2 linked regions of the Stegostoma tigrinum genome follow. The protein of the gene in region 2 purifies or fractionates together with the protein of the main gene of each other region. This does not show direct contact. Links are inferred from orthologs where the notes say so. Each region holds a gene or a part of one and is shown on either strand. Other genes may lie near its edges.

Region 1 (7,863 bases), on a different chromosome or scaffold from region 2:
ACAACAGCCTTCCAGAATGCAGCGGCAGAAATGGGTATTTCGTGCTGAGATGAAAGGGTACAGTGTTAGAACTGGGTGTTTAGAGCAAGGATAAGGGACAAGTACCCAATCTGGTTGTTGGGCTCAGGAGAATCAAGCTCATGGAGGGACTTTATCAGAAAAAAAAGTTCCTTAAATTCAGATATAGATGAAAAGGGAGCAATGAAGGTCGGTAAGAAGACCAACAGGAAAGCAGAACCTGGAACACAGTTAACATATATGAACTTCACTTTCAGGAACACAAACTACCATATTTGTATAGTAAATATATCTCTCCTGCGGCTTTTAAAATCAGAATAAACTGATTAATTTATAAAAAATGAACTTTTACCAGCCTATGTTTTGAACTCTCTAAATCAAATTATACTGCAATCATATTCTTACGTCATACTTCCACAAAGTCAATGTCACACTGCTTTAAAACAGCAGTGTTGCAGAAAAATTTGGCAGCTAATTTACACAGCTAGATCCCTTAATTAGCAATGAAATGATGCACCATACCATTGTTTACAATACTGGTTGATGCATAATCGATGGTCAGGAGATCTGGCAAAGTGCCTAGTCTTCCTTGAAGTAGCATGGGATCTGTAACAATCATTTGAGAGAACAAACAGGGTCTTGACTTCTTGTCACATCCAAAACAGAGCAGGGCACAAGCACTAATCCAACAACCAAGATTACCTGCTTAGGTCTTTGGAATGGCGCTGAACACACACATCTATGATTTAGGTGAGTGTTATGCAATGACTAAATCTGGCACAATCACATGTATAAAATACAAGTCAGAAATCAAAATACCAAAGTACCTGAACAGCATACAGAGCCTGGAGCAGATTTTTACTGGACTTATTTGGATATTAGTTGGAAAGCTCAAAGAATTCAATCAACAATACACTTCTTTTTCCTATATAGATCTTGTCACAAAAACTGAACTTTTGCCCCAGTATTTCAACTCTACAGGCTTTAAAATACCACATGACTAAACAACTAAATTCCAATCAGACCAACTGATATTTTATGGTGAAGTCAAAGTATCAGTTTGGTACAGAATATTTTTCTGAAGTCTAAGTATTGAAAACAAAGCGATGTCAAAGATATTTTTGGAAGGATCCCTTTACTGAGATCAACAGAAACTCGTTGAAGATCCAGGCCTAAATCTGCATTGGATGATAAAAAGTTTAACCCCAAAACGTAATTAGGGGCAACTGACATTTCATTTATTGAGGATGACACTGGCAATACAATCTAAATAAAACTCTTTTTACTTGACCAAAATAACATACAACTTAGTCTACATTGTGTTCTCAAAATATTCATCAAGCCACTCACATAATTGTCATTAATTTGTTCACCGATGTTCTGGACTGCTGTTAGATGTACCAGTTTAGTAACACACTGCAAATTAGTGCAATGCCACAATTTGATATGTTTAACATTGGGCATTGGACTGGACACCTGCACATTTCAGGTTAAAGTTTTGTTTTATTCGGCACAAAATTTAACAACTGCAGTTTTTAGAATTAAAAATCTCGCGCTTTGCGGCTAGAAAAGCAGTTCAAGAAGAATGGTACTACTCAGATCTGAAAGTTTAATGTCTATCCACTCTTTGCATAGAAAGAACATTTTTAAATAAATAACGTTTTTTCAGAATATTTGCTGTGTTTGGCTTTGCATTGCATGTGTTACAGTCCAACATGTTTTGTTGGCAGGCACCATCCGAATCACAATGTTGCAAAAGAACAATCTTCTTTTACTTGTATGTGACAAAAGCAAAGGAAAATAAAAGGAAACCACACTGTCTAACTAAAGACTGGGTATCAATGCTGACATGAATTGTGCATCATGTACTGGCTAAACAAACGCTACATGCCTTAACAAAATTTCTCCAGATCACTGAAATAGCACAACTGTCATACACAGATGAAAATGACATGCTTAACGTTTCTAATTCCTGCTAAATTGCTGTGCCCTGTGGCTGACACTCGGATATGCAACATATACTTTAACACGTTCAGCGCAGTAACACTGTCAAAAAGAGTCCATCTTCCTCTCTCAGCTCCTTATGTTAATAACACTGTTTTAAGAAGAGACCGCCAACCAAATTATAACAACGTCTTAAATAAGTGTCAGGCCGCTGGGGGGGGGGGGGGTGAGAACATAGAATTAAGTGGCTGATGAATTAGAACGAAAGTCAAGACAAACCTCTCCCCGATTTCTCTTCTATCTCTCTCCCTCCCTCTGTCACCCAGGCCGCTCTCGTTGCTGAGAAGCCGCTGCCGCCGCTTGGGTTTACTGTCCCCTCCTTTCTGGGCGAGGGGCGGTGTTACGGGGAAGGGAGGGGAGAGGAATGAAGGAGATGGTGTGAAAGAAAATAATAAATAAATCTCAAGTGTGAGAATTCAGAATCGCCTCAACCCCCGCCTCCCCCGAGCTGCCTGCTGTCCCCTCGATGTGAGTGACTCTTCAGGATCAAACTGTGCCTGTGACCAGCCCCCTCCCCACCTTTCCTCCTCTCACTCGGTCTTTTCCCCCTCTCTTTTTTTATTTCACAAAATGGCGCGCACTACAAACCTGCGCAACAGCAAACACCTCCTCGGCGCCGCCTTTTTTCAAACCCGCTTTACACCTCCTTGCGCCGCTCGCCAGACCGACTTCTCCGGCCGCACCGACCATTCAACTTTCTCCTCCCGCTCTCCGAATCTCCCGATCTCGCCTTCGAGGGAGGAGGGAAAAAAAATCAGAACGGAGGAGGAGGAGGTTAGGGAAGGTGGTGGTAAGGAGGGAGTGGGTGAGTGAGGGATAAAGAGGGGCTAAGGTGAGAAAGGTAGAGTTGAGAGACAAAAAAAAATACCCCCTCCCCGCGGATAAAAAAAAATTTCCGAGGCGGGAAAGCCCTGAAAAAATTTTTTTCTCTCTCTTCTCTCTCCTCTTAACAACAAAATGGCGGCGGACGGAGCGCGTTGCTATGGGGACTGTCAATCACAGCGGGTGCCCCGGATGAGCCCTTGACGTCAGCAAGGGGAAAGGCGGGGCCAGGCGCCGTTGAGGATGTTGCCAGCCGCAATCCCCCGGATGCTGCACCGATTAATGGGGCCGAGCCTGTTGCGAAGGGAAACCGTCAATCACGCCCATCTCCTCCCTTCATCTAAACCCGAGGCCCAAATAACCGAGAACCGCAGAAACTCTTGTTGCCAAGCGAGTGGTCGCCATCTAGAACCTGATGGGGTTCCCTGTGTGTGTACTTTTCTTTGTAACACGCTTGCTGTATATGCAAGTATTACACAATTGAGGTTTCTTTCGTATCTTGTTCTGATTTTCTCGAGACGTCTTTTTGTTGTGTTGCTCCCTTTAACAGAATCATAGTCCTTAGATTAGATAGATTTTTTTTGCGAGAGTTGCCAAACTTTTCATCAAGGATCCAGACTCTCCTTCTTCCTCTCCTCGCCCATAAGAACCCAAAACACAACTCGAAACCTCCCTTCATTGCGTCCCTGAACACTGACCTATATTGCTCACTGATTATTTTGAGATTGGAGGGAGAAAAGGCTGTGCGTGTGTCTCTGTGATGTTTTATTTATGTTTCTTTTTGAATTGCGGATACCTGTTTCATTCGCACACCTTCCAAACAGCAGTAGAAGGCAAAAAGAGTTGTTTCGAATGAAGATGACCCACAAACACACTAAAGTACACAGACGCTGTGACAGAATGGGCTTGCCCCCTATTGAGCCCGTTTGCAGAGCCGCACGGTTACATAAACGATAGAGAAAAGCCCACAACTGAACTTGAACGCTCAAATAAATGTCACTGGAGGAGCAAAAATTTACTTGATATCCCCCGACCGCTGCAATCAAAACCGGAAAAGCCGCAGCGAATAATGGTTTAGGACATGCATTGACATTTGCGGCTAAAAGTATCTTCTCATTGACTTTTTTTTATTCTGGCCAGAAGGGTGATACGGTGCTTTGATTCTTCTAACAGCACTTGCAGCGACGAAAGAACGGTTTTACAGACATCGTGTGACAAGCGGCTCTTCGCTTCATTTCTCATCAACTAGCGTGGCATACAGTTTTAACGAGTTACATTCTGGCACATACTCTGTTGGTCTGGGATTGGTGGGGCGACGGTCTCAGGCGATAGTGAGTGGAAATGTAGCCTCGTATTTTTGAATGGTGACATTAATAAAACAACACGACTTCATGGTTAATTTATTTCGATTGCAATTTTGCATTTATACCCGTGGTTCTATTTATGGAACATCACTCCGTTAATATTTTTTGAGGAGACGAGAAAGGGTGTGTGAAGTAGATCGCCTCTTGATCAAAAGCGCACAGTGCGGTACCGAGTGAATGACGCATACCTGAATCGTCCCAGGTCAATGCCCATTTTCTGTTAGCTAGCCCCAGTTTGGGCAGCGATAAAAATCATCCTAATAATCCTCAATATCCCTTTCCCTACCTGAGTATGCCAGAGTTAGCAGGCATACTTACAGGCAAATAGATTACTGATACTTGCCACCCATGCTGTCATATTGACTTGAACGCTGGAAATTAATGTCGAAATGCCCCTTCCAGAAAGTCGACATGTCACAAGCAGGTATCATTTATCTTTGAGCTTCAGTGTAGCTTTGTATATATACTGAGACAACAAATTAATTGACATTTAGCAGGAGAATGAGTCTTGCTTCTCTCCACCTACATACAGTCACGACAGCGTGGAATCTGTCACATGAATGTTCTGAAGAGAATCTCAGGGGTATTCCTGTGAGTTAACCCCCCCCCCACAGGCCACTCGGGGGTGAGGCTGACTCGTCTTCCTAGCCTTGCGATGAACAGCTGAAGCACAGCGCTCCATTCGCAGCAAACTCGCGATTTTGACGCGGAGTGAATTCAAACAAAACTGAATTATGATCTGAATACATGCCGAAACGCGTGTCGACAGATCCAGTGTATTATCTGCGATGCCCAGACTACGTTTTATAAAAAAAATCTTTCAGTCACTTGGTATGCCAGTAAACCAGTGGAATGTCTTGCAGCTGAGATTAAAAAGAACAAGCTGTTCCTTCCCGTGGCCATTGATCCAACTCAGCTCCGAACAGACATTACATGTATTTCGCAAATTCCCAGAAGTACCTCGGATCGACCAGTTGAAGATGTGTGCAAAGCGTTCCTTTACAGCTTGTTAAAGCCTTCTTGCAAGTCGCAGATCACCTCATCTGGTTTAATGTTGTTCTCAGGTTAGATCTCTTAAGGATGCAGCTGTGTTTTTTACAAATAATTTAGCCAGTAATACTGTTTGCAGGGGGCTGTCGCCAAAATGGCATCTATTTTAGCCTTGCTAATTCTGAAATAAGATGCATTGCAGCAACTCAACACAGCTCCTTACATATCACCTCCCAAACTCACAATCTTTGGTCTTAATTGAAACTCACCACCAGTCACCTTAAGAAAGACAAGGGCAGCAGATGTTTGGGAAAGTCACCAACTGCATGTTCCTCTTCAAGCCACATACAGTCCTGCAGTGGAAGAAAATTGCTGTTCCTTCAGTGTCTCTGTTTATAATCCTGGAACTCACTCCCTAACAGGACAATGGTGTTCCTATACCCAAAGGACTTCAGCAAACCAGCATACAGCAAAGCACATATTCTCAAGGGCAATCAGAGATTGGCAATAAGTGCTGGTCCAACCAGTGAAGTCCACATCCCAAGAGCTAATGCTTTTTTTTAAAAGAAAACTTCCCCAGTCTATCTATTTTGATCCCTAAACAGCCTTTATGTGGCACTGAACACAGCCTCTGTAATGTGTGGCATTACCACCATGAATGAAGTAGATTTAAACCAGACCAAACCAAACTCAAAGCAAAGGATTCCTGGAGCACTGTGGGCCACCAGCAGCAGAAGAATTGTGTTCAACCACAGCCTCTAACACCATGGGCCAGCATACTACCCACTCTCACACAGAATAGAATGAGAATCTGTATAGAGTGGGGGCAAGCCATTTGGCCCACTGAGTCCACATTGACCCACCAAAGGGCATCCCACCCAAACACACACTTATCCCCATAACCCCACATTTCCAGCTAGCTTGCACATCCCTGGACACGATGGGCAATTTAGCATGACAAATCCACTTAACCTGCACATCTTTGGACAGTAGGATAAAACTGGAGTGCCCAGAGGAGACCCATGCAGACAAAGGGAGAATGCGAAACTCCACATAGACAGTTGCCTAAGGCTGAAGCTGAACCCGGATTCCTGCTGCTGTAAGGCAGCAGCACTAGCCATCGTGCTGCCCCTATTATCATTACCATTAAGCTGGGGAATCACCTCTAGTTTAATGACAATTTTAAGAGAACATGTGAGGAGCAGCACCATTAACACCTAAAGTAAGATATCAGTCTGGTGAAGCTACAATATAGGATGTCATCATTATTAAGTAGGAGATCTAAGTGATGCCATCATGATAAATCAGATCAAAATATTTATGTCTTGCAATATCCAGTTACAATTAATGGTGGATTGTTAATAGGATGAGGAGATACCATGAGCATCTCCATTCTTGTTAATGATGGAGTACAGGACATGAATCTGAGAGATAAGGCTGAGAATTTTACCACCATCTTCAACCAAAAGTAACGAATGGGTGAACCAGTGTTCTCTCTGCTTGGTATCCCCGACATCATAGAAACCAGTCTTGATCAATTTACTCTACTCCCCATAATATCAAGAAACAATCCATTGTTTGTATTCTATAAGGGCTATGGAACTAACAATGTCTTGTGCTCCAGCACTGGCATTTATATAATGAAGTGGAAAGTTGCCAAGGTACATTCTTTTCACTAAAAAGCAAGACACCTACAACCCAGCATACCATCCTGTTGTCCTCCACCTGATCATCAGCAAGGTGATGAAAGGGGATGATACTCACCAGTGACCTGTTTACTGTTACTGAGGAGTTGGCCAGAATCACTCAGCTCCAGACATCAGCATATCCTTGGTTGGATAATCAACAAATGGACTGAATTGTGGAAGTGAAATGTAAGTAGCTGCCTTTGACAACACAAGGCAGTATTTGACTAAGTGGGGCCTCAAGTAGGAAGTTAAATCAATGGGAATAGGGAGGAAAACTCCACGCTGGTGGGATCACATCTCACACATAAGGTTATTTTGATTATCCTTGGTCAGATCTAATAGGTATTTTCTAATCAATCTGTTCATAAATGTTATTAAACACCTCTGGAGTAGGTAGGACTTTAACCCATTCTCTTGCCTTTGAAGTAGGGACACCATCACTACACCATAAGAGCTCCAATTTTCTCATGTCCTAAGTTTAACCATCTTCAGCCGATTCATCTTGAGATTCCTTCCAAAATAAAGCCAAAACTGGATATATTCACTGATGATTGCAATTCAATTAAGCAGTCGCTGTTTGCATGCAAACTGACTTGACACATAATTCTGGCTTGAGTTTATAAATGACAAATAATATTAATGCCAGACAAATGGCAGAAAATGACTATCTCCTCCTAATATTCAATTACATTATCATAAGTAAATTCTCAAGTCTCAAAATCCTGGGTGTCACCATTGATCAGAAAACTTAACAGACTAGACACACAAATGCTGAGACGACAGCAGCTGTTCAGAGGCTAGTAATTCTGTCGTGAGAAACACACTGCCTGACTCACCAAACCTCTCCACCACCTACAAGGTGCAAGTCAAGAGTGTTACGGAATATTTGCCACAGAGCCAGATAACTGGAGTGTTAATTGTATCAATACAGTTAAACATATATAGATGGGGTGGCTTTAATTGATTTAATTGACCTT
Region 2 (7,817 bases):
GTCTGGCAGTTAGACACACCACTGTTCTGCCATTCTGACATTCCAATTACTTAATCTGAACTATCAACATCTTTTCTCCCCCAGCACTCTCCACCCTACCACCCCAACACCCTTCCCCCCACCCAACTTTAGCATAAATGCTGACCCCTCCACACTTCACTTCACCTCTGAAGAAGAATCAGAGTGATTCAGAATGAAAGCAGGTCCTTTGGCCCAAACTGGACCAGCTTTCCCTGGATCCCATGCGATCTAACACTCATGGCTAGTTTGCTGAGTGGGACCTTGTAAAGGCCTTACTAATTTCCATACAGACCACATCCACTGCCTCATCCTCATCCATCTCTTGCATACCTCTTGGAAAAACTCAAAGATTTGACAGACAAGATTCCGGAGAATACATCCATGCGGATTATCCCAAATCAGAAACTGACTATCCAAATGTTGGTTGATCCTGTCCCTCAGTATCCTCTGCTATACCCTGCCTACCACTGATGTCACACTCACTGGCCCTTAGTTCCCTGACTTGTCTTTGCTACTTTTCTTTGACAAAAGAACAACATTAGCCACCCTCTAGTCAGAGATATACAGCACAGAAACAGACCCTCCAGTCCAACTCATCCATGCTGACTAGTTATCCTATATAAACCTAGTTCCATTTACCAGCATTTTCCCTCGAAACCCTTCCTATTCATTTACCCATCCAGATGCCTCGGCAGCTCATTACATACACGCGCCACCCTCCGTGAGAAAAAGTAGCTCCTTAGGTCCCTTTTATGTCTTTCCCCTCTCACCTTAAACCAATGCTCTCTAGTTTTGGACTCCCCCAACCTGGGGAAAAGACCTTGCCTGTTCCCCCGATCCATGCTCCTCATGATTGTATAAGCCTCCATAAGGTCATACCTCAGCCTCTGACACTCCAGGGAACATAGCCCCAGACTATTCAGCATCTCCCTCTAGCTCAAACCCTCCAACCATGGCAACATCCTCATAAATCTTCTCTGAACACATTCTAATTCACAATATCCTTCCTTTGGGAGGGAGACCAGAACAGCATGCAATACTCCAAATGTGAACTAACCAATGTCCTGTACAGCTGTGACATGGCCTCCCAATTCCCCTGCTCAATGCACTGATCAATAAGGGCAAACATACCAAACACCTTCTTCACTCCACCTTCAAACAGGTCATACCTACTACTCGTGTCCACGCATCACCACCATTCTGTTTCCACTCCTCCACACCCCTCCCCTAAACCCATATCCAGTCCTCAAGAGGGGTAATAACCAAAACGCTAGCAGCTCCTTTCCTCCAGATGCTGCCTGGCTGACTGTGTTCTTCCAGCCTCCTGTTTGTCTCCCTTCTTCACTGCCCTAACTACCTGAAAATTCACCTTCAAGGAATATGAAACTACACTCCAAGATCTCTTTACTCAGCAACACTCCCCACACCTGGAGTTGAAATGTTAGCTTGCTTGGTCTTCATGGATGTTGTCGATTCAGTGTGATTTCCAGCATTTGGTGTTTTCTGTCTAAGCTGTTGCTCAAGAAGTCTCCAGACGAGACTGACGTGCTCAACTCTTTAGGACTGAACCTTGTACATTTTTTTGTCTTGCAGCAGTAGAGTCCCTACTCCTCAGCTATAAGGTTTGTTTTCAAGAATCACTTGTCATAACATGTCTTAAAAGGTTGATCAAAATAACTAGGTGTAGTGAGTCACATGGAGCAGGTCTTCATGTCTGATCCCACCATTAGCCCATTTTTCACTGAGGCCCCTCCCGATAGTATTCCATCCTTGGCAACTTTCTGAAGCAGAGCAGCCCGTTCTTGGCGAATTGGGCAATGTGTTACTACTCCCAGAGCATCCCACAGTCCATTAATTAACTAAATTTCCCTTTTGAAAATAAATCTTGCCCTACATTTCTTGTAAACGATTGTGCACGGTCTGCTCACTTTTACTCTCGGATTTCATAGCCGCCTGACTCAGGTCACTTCAAAGCAGCAGCCCCTCCCAACAAAAAAAAATCAATATTTCAGGCACATAAAAACCGGCAAGGAAACGAGTAAAAAGCGGTCATAGTCTCAACTTTACTCTTTCATCAAAGAGACAGTTTAATTTCCTCAGCTTAATCCCCGGAAAGGAGGATTTTATGGTGGGGTGGGGGAAGACAGAGGGGCGATCGTTGTTACCTGACGTGACCTCTTTTATAAATATATAAACCACTGGAGGAGGTGCTGTAGCATCAGTTCAAAACAATGACAATTGCTGCAACAACAGAACAATATTCAGGAACAATTGCTATGGAAAAAAAATGGACAAACTCGAGGGGTTTTTTTTTCTTTTAAAGCCAGCGGTGCTAATGGTGCAGTGCAGCCAACCCTTCTCCGCTTTCCAGAAATGGCAATGAAGAAGTTGAGAGTGTCCTTTAAGTCACATCACGTACACAAGCCGCTTACATCACCGAGGCAACTGGCCAAAAACTTAACCTCACATACATGTGACAGCCCCAGTGGAATAAACCATGCATTACCTGCTGCATCCAACCTATGCGTTTCCTTGTCCCCATCAGAGCTGTGGCATCCTTTTTCTTGTACGAAATGCACACATCGTGCAGGGAAAAATGTACGCGCAACTTACAACCCCTGCAAACCGATCCGATTCCCTACCTCAATAACTGTGCATATATTTCACACCTCTTCAGACCTTCCACCTATCACAGCTTTGCAGCCGTTTCCGAATCGGAGTTTCGCCGCTCAACTTGGGAACAACTTAAATCTCCTGCAAAGCTGTCACACATTGGAGCAGATGTTCCCAAGACACGGTCTTTTTGTTGGGGGGGGGGGCGAAGAAGGGAAGGTTGGGGTTATTATTAGAAGGACCAGACCACTCACCGTTCATTGTGCTGACAGTAGCTGAGGGCTCGGCCGGGGGAAGGAGAGGAGAGCACCAGGGGGTTTATTACAGATCTCACCGCGCTGGGTTTGTTCGGGAAAGGATTAGAAGCAGCCGCCTCCTCTCACTTCGTCGCTGCTGCTGCTGCTCGGGGTACAGCCTCCTGGCAGCACGCAGCCTATCAGCGACAGCTCGCCGTTCACCGGCAGAGCACCTCCTCCTGCTCAGTGTTCACCCCTCCTGCAAACTGCGAAAGACAGCTCCATCGTTTACATATGTTCCTCCAGAAACCCACTTTCACGAAGTGCACATTGATTTTAATTCCGGCAATGGCACTGGACGAACCTGAACAAGGGTCCCGAAACGTTAATCTTGCTTTCTGTCCACAGTTGCTGCCAGACCTGCAGAGATCTTCCAGCAGTTTCTGCAGCCCACCTCTCACTGTGGTCGGTGTTCTCACTGACTCCCTAACCCCAAAGCATCTCAATTCCATGAACTCGTTCTCCTTTGTAGGTAATAGTCTTCTATGGCATGTATGTCCTTTCTTAGATAAGCGATCAAAAGTATACACAATACTTAACGCAAGATCTCACCAAGGTTCCGTACAACTGTAGCAAGACGTGTGTCGTTCTGCACTTAATTCCCCTTTCAATGAAGTTCAACATACTATGTGCTTTTCTAATTGCTTGTTTCGGCCACATGCTAACTTTTAGAGATTCAGGAATGAGATCACCTGCACTTCTCAGCCTCTCACCATTCAACAAGTGTCTATTTTCTTTCCCAATGTGAATAACTTCACATGATATTTTCTTTGCCATGTTGTAGCTTAATGATTTAGCACGCAAGTCTTCCTGAAGCCTTGCTACAATGTTACTCACAACTTACATGCCACAGCCCATAACTACATCACATGTGGATGTTTTAAATTCAGTCAGTTCAAACACGTTATGTCACATCTCTGGAGCAGGTGAGAATTGAAGCCAGGCCTCCTGGCTCAGAAGTAGGGGCACGACCACTGTGTTATAAGAGCTGTACATATTGTACTCAAAGCGTGCATTAGTGCACCTGACTTGGCATCAAATTGTGGTGGATATCTTAACCTGTTCGACATGTTATGACATACCTGTGGAGCAAGTGGAATTTGAACTAGGTCTTCTTCCTTAGAGGTTGGTAGGGATACTATGGACTGCTTCACTGAGGCTCCGAACATTTATAACCTCCATCCGCGAGATTCAAACTGACTTGCAGGGACCCAATGGATTTCAAATCCATCATCTTAACTACTCGACCATGACTGGCTATGGCTATAGGTTGCTTAATTTGCAGAACCAAACTCAGCTCCAATTGCTTGATGTTAGAAATTACCCAATTTTTTTTTAATTAACCTGTTCAGAAATGTTATTCCACATCTGAAGCAGGTGGGGCTTGAACCCAGGTTCCTCGATCCAAGGATAGCGACACTACCAGTACGCAACAAGAGGGCCTCAAATGCACCCAGTTTTGTGGAATTAGTATAATTAAAAATATTACAATGTCCCCAAAATCTAAATCAGTTCTATAGATTTTGAATTCTGTGGACCTAGCACGAATCATTGTGGCACCCATGAGTAACAGCCCGCCTTTCTGACAATGATCCATTTATTCCTACTCTCTGCTTTGTTTTTTGATTTTGTTTTATAGTGCAAATTGCTTGTGAAACTTCTCAGAATGGTTTATTACATTAAAAAATGCACTATTTACATGTGTTGTTACCATAGCTATGATTCATAACGTTTGGACAATATTTCTCCGAGGTAATGTTGTAATAATAGACCAATTTTCAGTTACAGCTCATCGCACTCACTTCTCATTCATTTTCAAAAACACTTCATATGGCAGTCTTGATTACACTTTTTAATCATGAAGGAAGTGATTTTCTCCCTATGTTAATGGACACAAATCTGAAATATGGTTATATACTCATTTATAATTTCATTACAGACAACAAAAAAAATTATGGTCATAATTACTACCTACAATTTACAGACTGGAATAGAGAGATGAGCCATAAAATGCAGTGGGATGGAAATCCTGCTCACTCACCTAGGCCAGGCTTTAGCCCTCTCCTTTTGTTTTCTTTATTCATTCATGGGATGTGGATGTCACTGGCTAGGCCAGCATTTACTGCCCATCTCTAATTGCCAAGAGGGCAGTTAAGAATCAACCACATTGCTGTGGATCTGGAGTCACATGTAGGCCAGACCAGGTAAGGATGGCAGTTTCCTTCACTGAAGAATATTACTGAACCAGATGGATTTTTCCAACACTCATAGAACATAAAACAATACAGCACAGAACATGCCCTTTGGCCCTCAAAGTTGTGCTGACCTGTGAATTAATCTAAGCCCTCCCCCTATACTAACCCATCATCATCCATCTGCTTATCCAAGGACTGTTTAAATGCCCCTAATGTGGCTGAGTTAACTACATTGGCAGGCAGGATGTTAAACGCCTTTAACACTCTCTGAGTAAAGAACCTGCCTCTGACATCTGTCTTAAATCTATCACCCCTCAATTTGGAGCTATTCCCCCTCATACAAGCTGACATCATCATCCTCAGAAAAAGACTCTCACTGTCCACCCTACCTAATCCTCTGATTATCTTGTATGTCCCTATTAAATTCCCTCTTAGCCTTCTTCTCTTCAATGAGAACAGACCCAAGTCCCTCCACCTTTCTTCATAGGCCTTCGCTCCAGACCAGGCAACATCCTGGTAAATCTTCTCTGCACCTTTCCACTGCTTCCACATCCTTCCTGTAATGGGGCAACCAGAACTGCACGCAATATTCCAAGTGAGGCCAAGTGAGGGGTACTAATTTCCTGGGTGGGAAATTTGCTAGTGCTATTCGGGTGGACTTAATGCTCAGCAGGGGGGTGGGAAACTGTGGTGTAGTTCCAGTACACAGGAAGATGAGCGTAGGGAGGATATGGACTGGACCTCTCTGACGCAGGAGTGTGCTGGCAGACAGCAAGCCGGTTTGAAGTGTGTCTACTTCAATGCCAGGAGTATCCGGAATAAGGTAGGTGAGCTTGCAGCTTGGATAGATACCTGGGACTTCGATGTTGTGGCCATTTCAGAGACATGGAAAGAGCAGGGTCAGGAATGGATATTGCAGGTTCCAGGGTTTAGATCTTTCATTAAGATCAGGGAAGGTGGTAAAAGAGGGGGAGGTGTGGCTTTGTTAGTCAAGGACAGTATAACGGTGGCTGAAAGAACTTTTGATGAAGACTCATCTACTGAGGTGGTATGGGCTGAGGTCAGAAACAGGAGAGGAGAGGCCACACAGCTGGGAGTTTTTTATAGGCCTCCGCAAAGTTCCAAGGATGTGGAGGAGAGGATCGGCAAAACGATTCTGGGCAGGAGTGAAAGGAACTGGGCGGTTATTATGGGAGACTTTAACTTCCCTAACATTGACTGGAATTGCTATAACTCTAGTACGTCAGATGGATCAGATTTTGTCCAATGTGTGCAGGACGGTTTCCTGACTCAGTATGTCGAAGGGCCGACAAGAGGGGAGGCTACGCTGGATCTGGTACTTGGTAACGAACCAGGCCAGGTGTTTGATTTAGTGGTAGGTGAGCACTTTGGAGAGAGTGACCATAATTTTGTTACGTTTAGTTTAGCGAAGGAAAGGGATAGGAACATGCCACAGGGCAAGAGTTATAGATGGGCGAAGAGCAATTATAATGCGATTAGACAAGACATAGGAGGCATAGAATGGGGTAGCAAAATGCAGGGGATGGGGACAATCGAAATGTGGAGCTGGTTTAAAGGAAAGATATTGCGTGTCCTTGATAGGTATGTCCCTGTCAGGCAGGGAGGAAGTGATAAGGTAAGGGAACCGTGGTTTACTAAAGAAATTGTATCTCTTGTTAAGCGGAAGAGGGAGGCTTATGTGACAATGAGACGAGATGGTTCAGATGAGGCGATGGAGAGTTACAGATTAGCTCGGAAGGATTTAAAGAGAGAGTTAAGAAGAGCAAGGAGGGGACATGAGCAGACATTAGCAGGCAGAATAAAGGAGAACCCTAAAGCTTTCTATAGGTATGTGAGGAATAAGAGGATGACTAGGGTAGGAATAGGGCCAGTCAAAGACAGAAGTGGGAAGTTGTGTGTGGACCCTGTAGAGAGCGGAGAGGTGCTAAACAAATATTTCTCATCTGTTTTCACTCAGGAAAAGGAGAGTATTGTAGAGGAGAAGACTGAGTTACGGGCTACTAGAATTGAAAGGATTAAGGTTAGTAAGGAGGAGGTGTTATCAATTCTAGAAGGTGTGAAGGTAGATAAATCCCCTGGGCCGGATAGGATTTTTCCGAGGATTGTCTGGGAAGCTAGGGAGGATGTGGCGGAGCCTTTGACCTTGATCTTTGAGTCCTCATTGTCTACAGGCTTAGTACCAGAGGACTGGAGGATTGCAAATGTTGTGCCCTTGTTCAAGAAGGGCAGTAGAGATGACCCAGGTAATTATAGACCTGTGAGCCTTATGTCTGTTGTAGGAAAAGTTTTGGAAAGGATTATAAGAGATAGGATTTACAATGGATTCAATCGACAATGGATTCACAGTCATCATTACATTCTTAATTCCAGATATTTATTGAATTCAAATTCCACCATCTGCTGTGGCAGGATTTGAACCCGGGTCTGCAGAACATTGCCTGGGTTTCTGGATTAACCATCCAGGATAACACCACTCGGCCATCATCTCCTCTAAAGACTGATACAGGATCTGTATTAGATAGGCACCACTGGTGCATCCACTGCATGAGTCTAGTTGGAGCTCAGTGGGTGGGAGTGAATGGTCTGATCTTGGTAAATGCAGGCCAATTTGTTGTTCCTCAGAGGAATTGTTAAAGCAGAGTGTTGATACACCAATGATAATTGACTCCTT

The links.
Region 1: the proteins of leucine zipper putative tumor suppressor 3 (region 2) and dyrk1aa purify together in Homo sapiens (affinity purification with mass spectrometry; 3 studies listed by BioGRID and IntAct, with this or other methods). This does not show direct contact. The link is inferred for Stegostoma tigrinum from reciprocal best matches to the Homo sapiens genes LZTS3 and DYRK1A.

Annotation. Positions count from the first base shown.
Region 1 is NC_081365.1:17,522,353-17,530,215, reverse strand, and holds the start of dyrk1aa (dual specificity tyrosine-phosphorylation-regulated kinase 1A), read right to left. Parts: upstream 3,006-7,863; 5' UTR 2,611-3,005; intron 2,418-2,610; exon of another isoform or gene 2,242-2,417; intron 1-2,241. UniProt on the Homo sapiens protein: Dual-specificity kinase which possesses both serine/threonine and tyrosine kinase activities. Exhibits a substrate preference for proline at position P+1 and arginine at position P-3.
Region 2 is NC_081354.1:169,586,178-169,593,994, reverse strand, and holds the start of leucine zipper putative tumor suppressor 3, read right to left. Parts: upstream 3,012-7,817; 5' UTR 2,889-3,011; intron 1-2,888. UniProt on the Homo sapiens protein: May be involved in promoting the maturation of dendritic spines, probably via regulating SIPA1L1 levels at the postsynaptic density of synapses.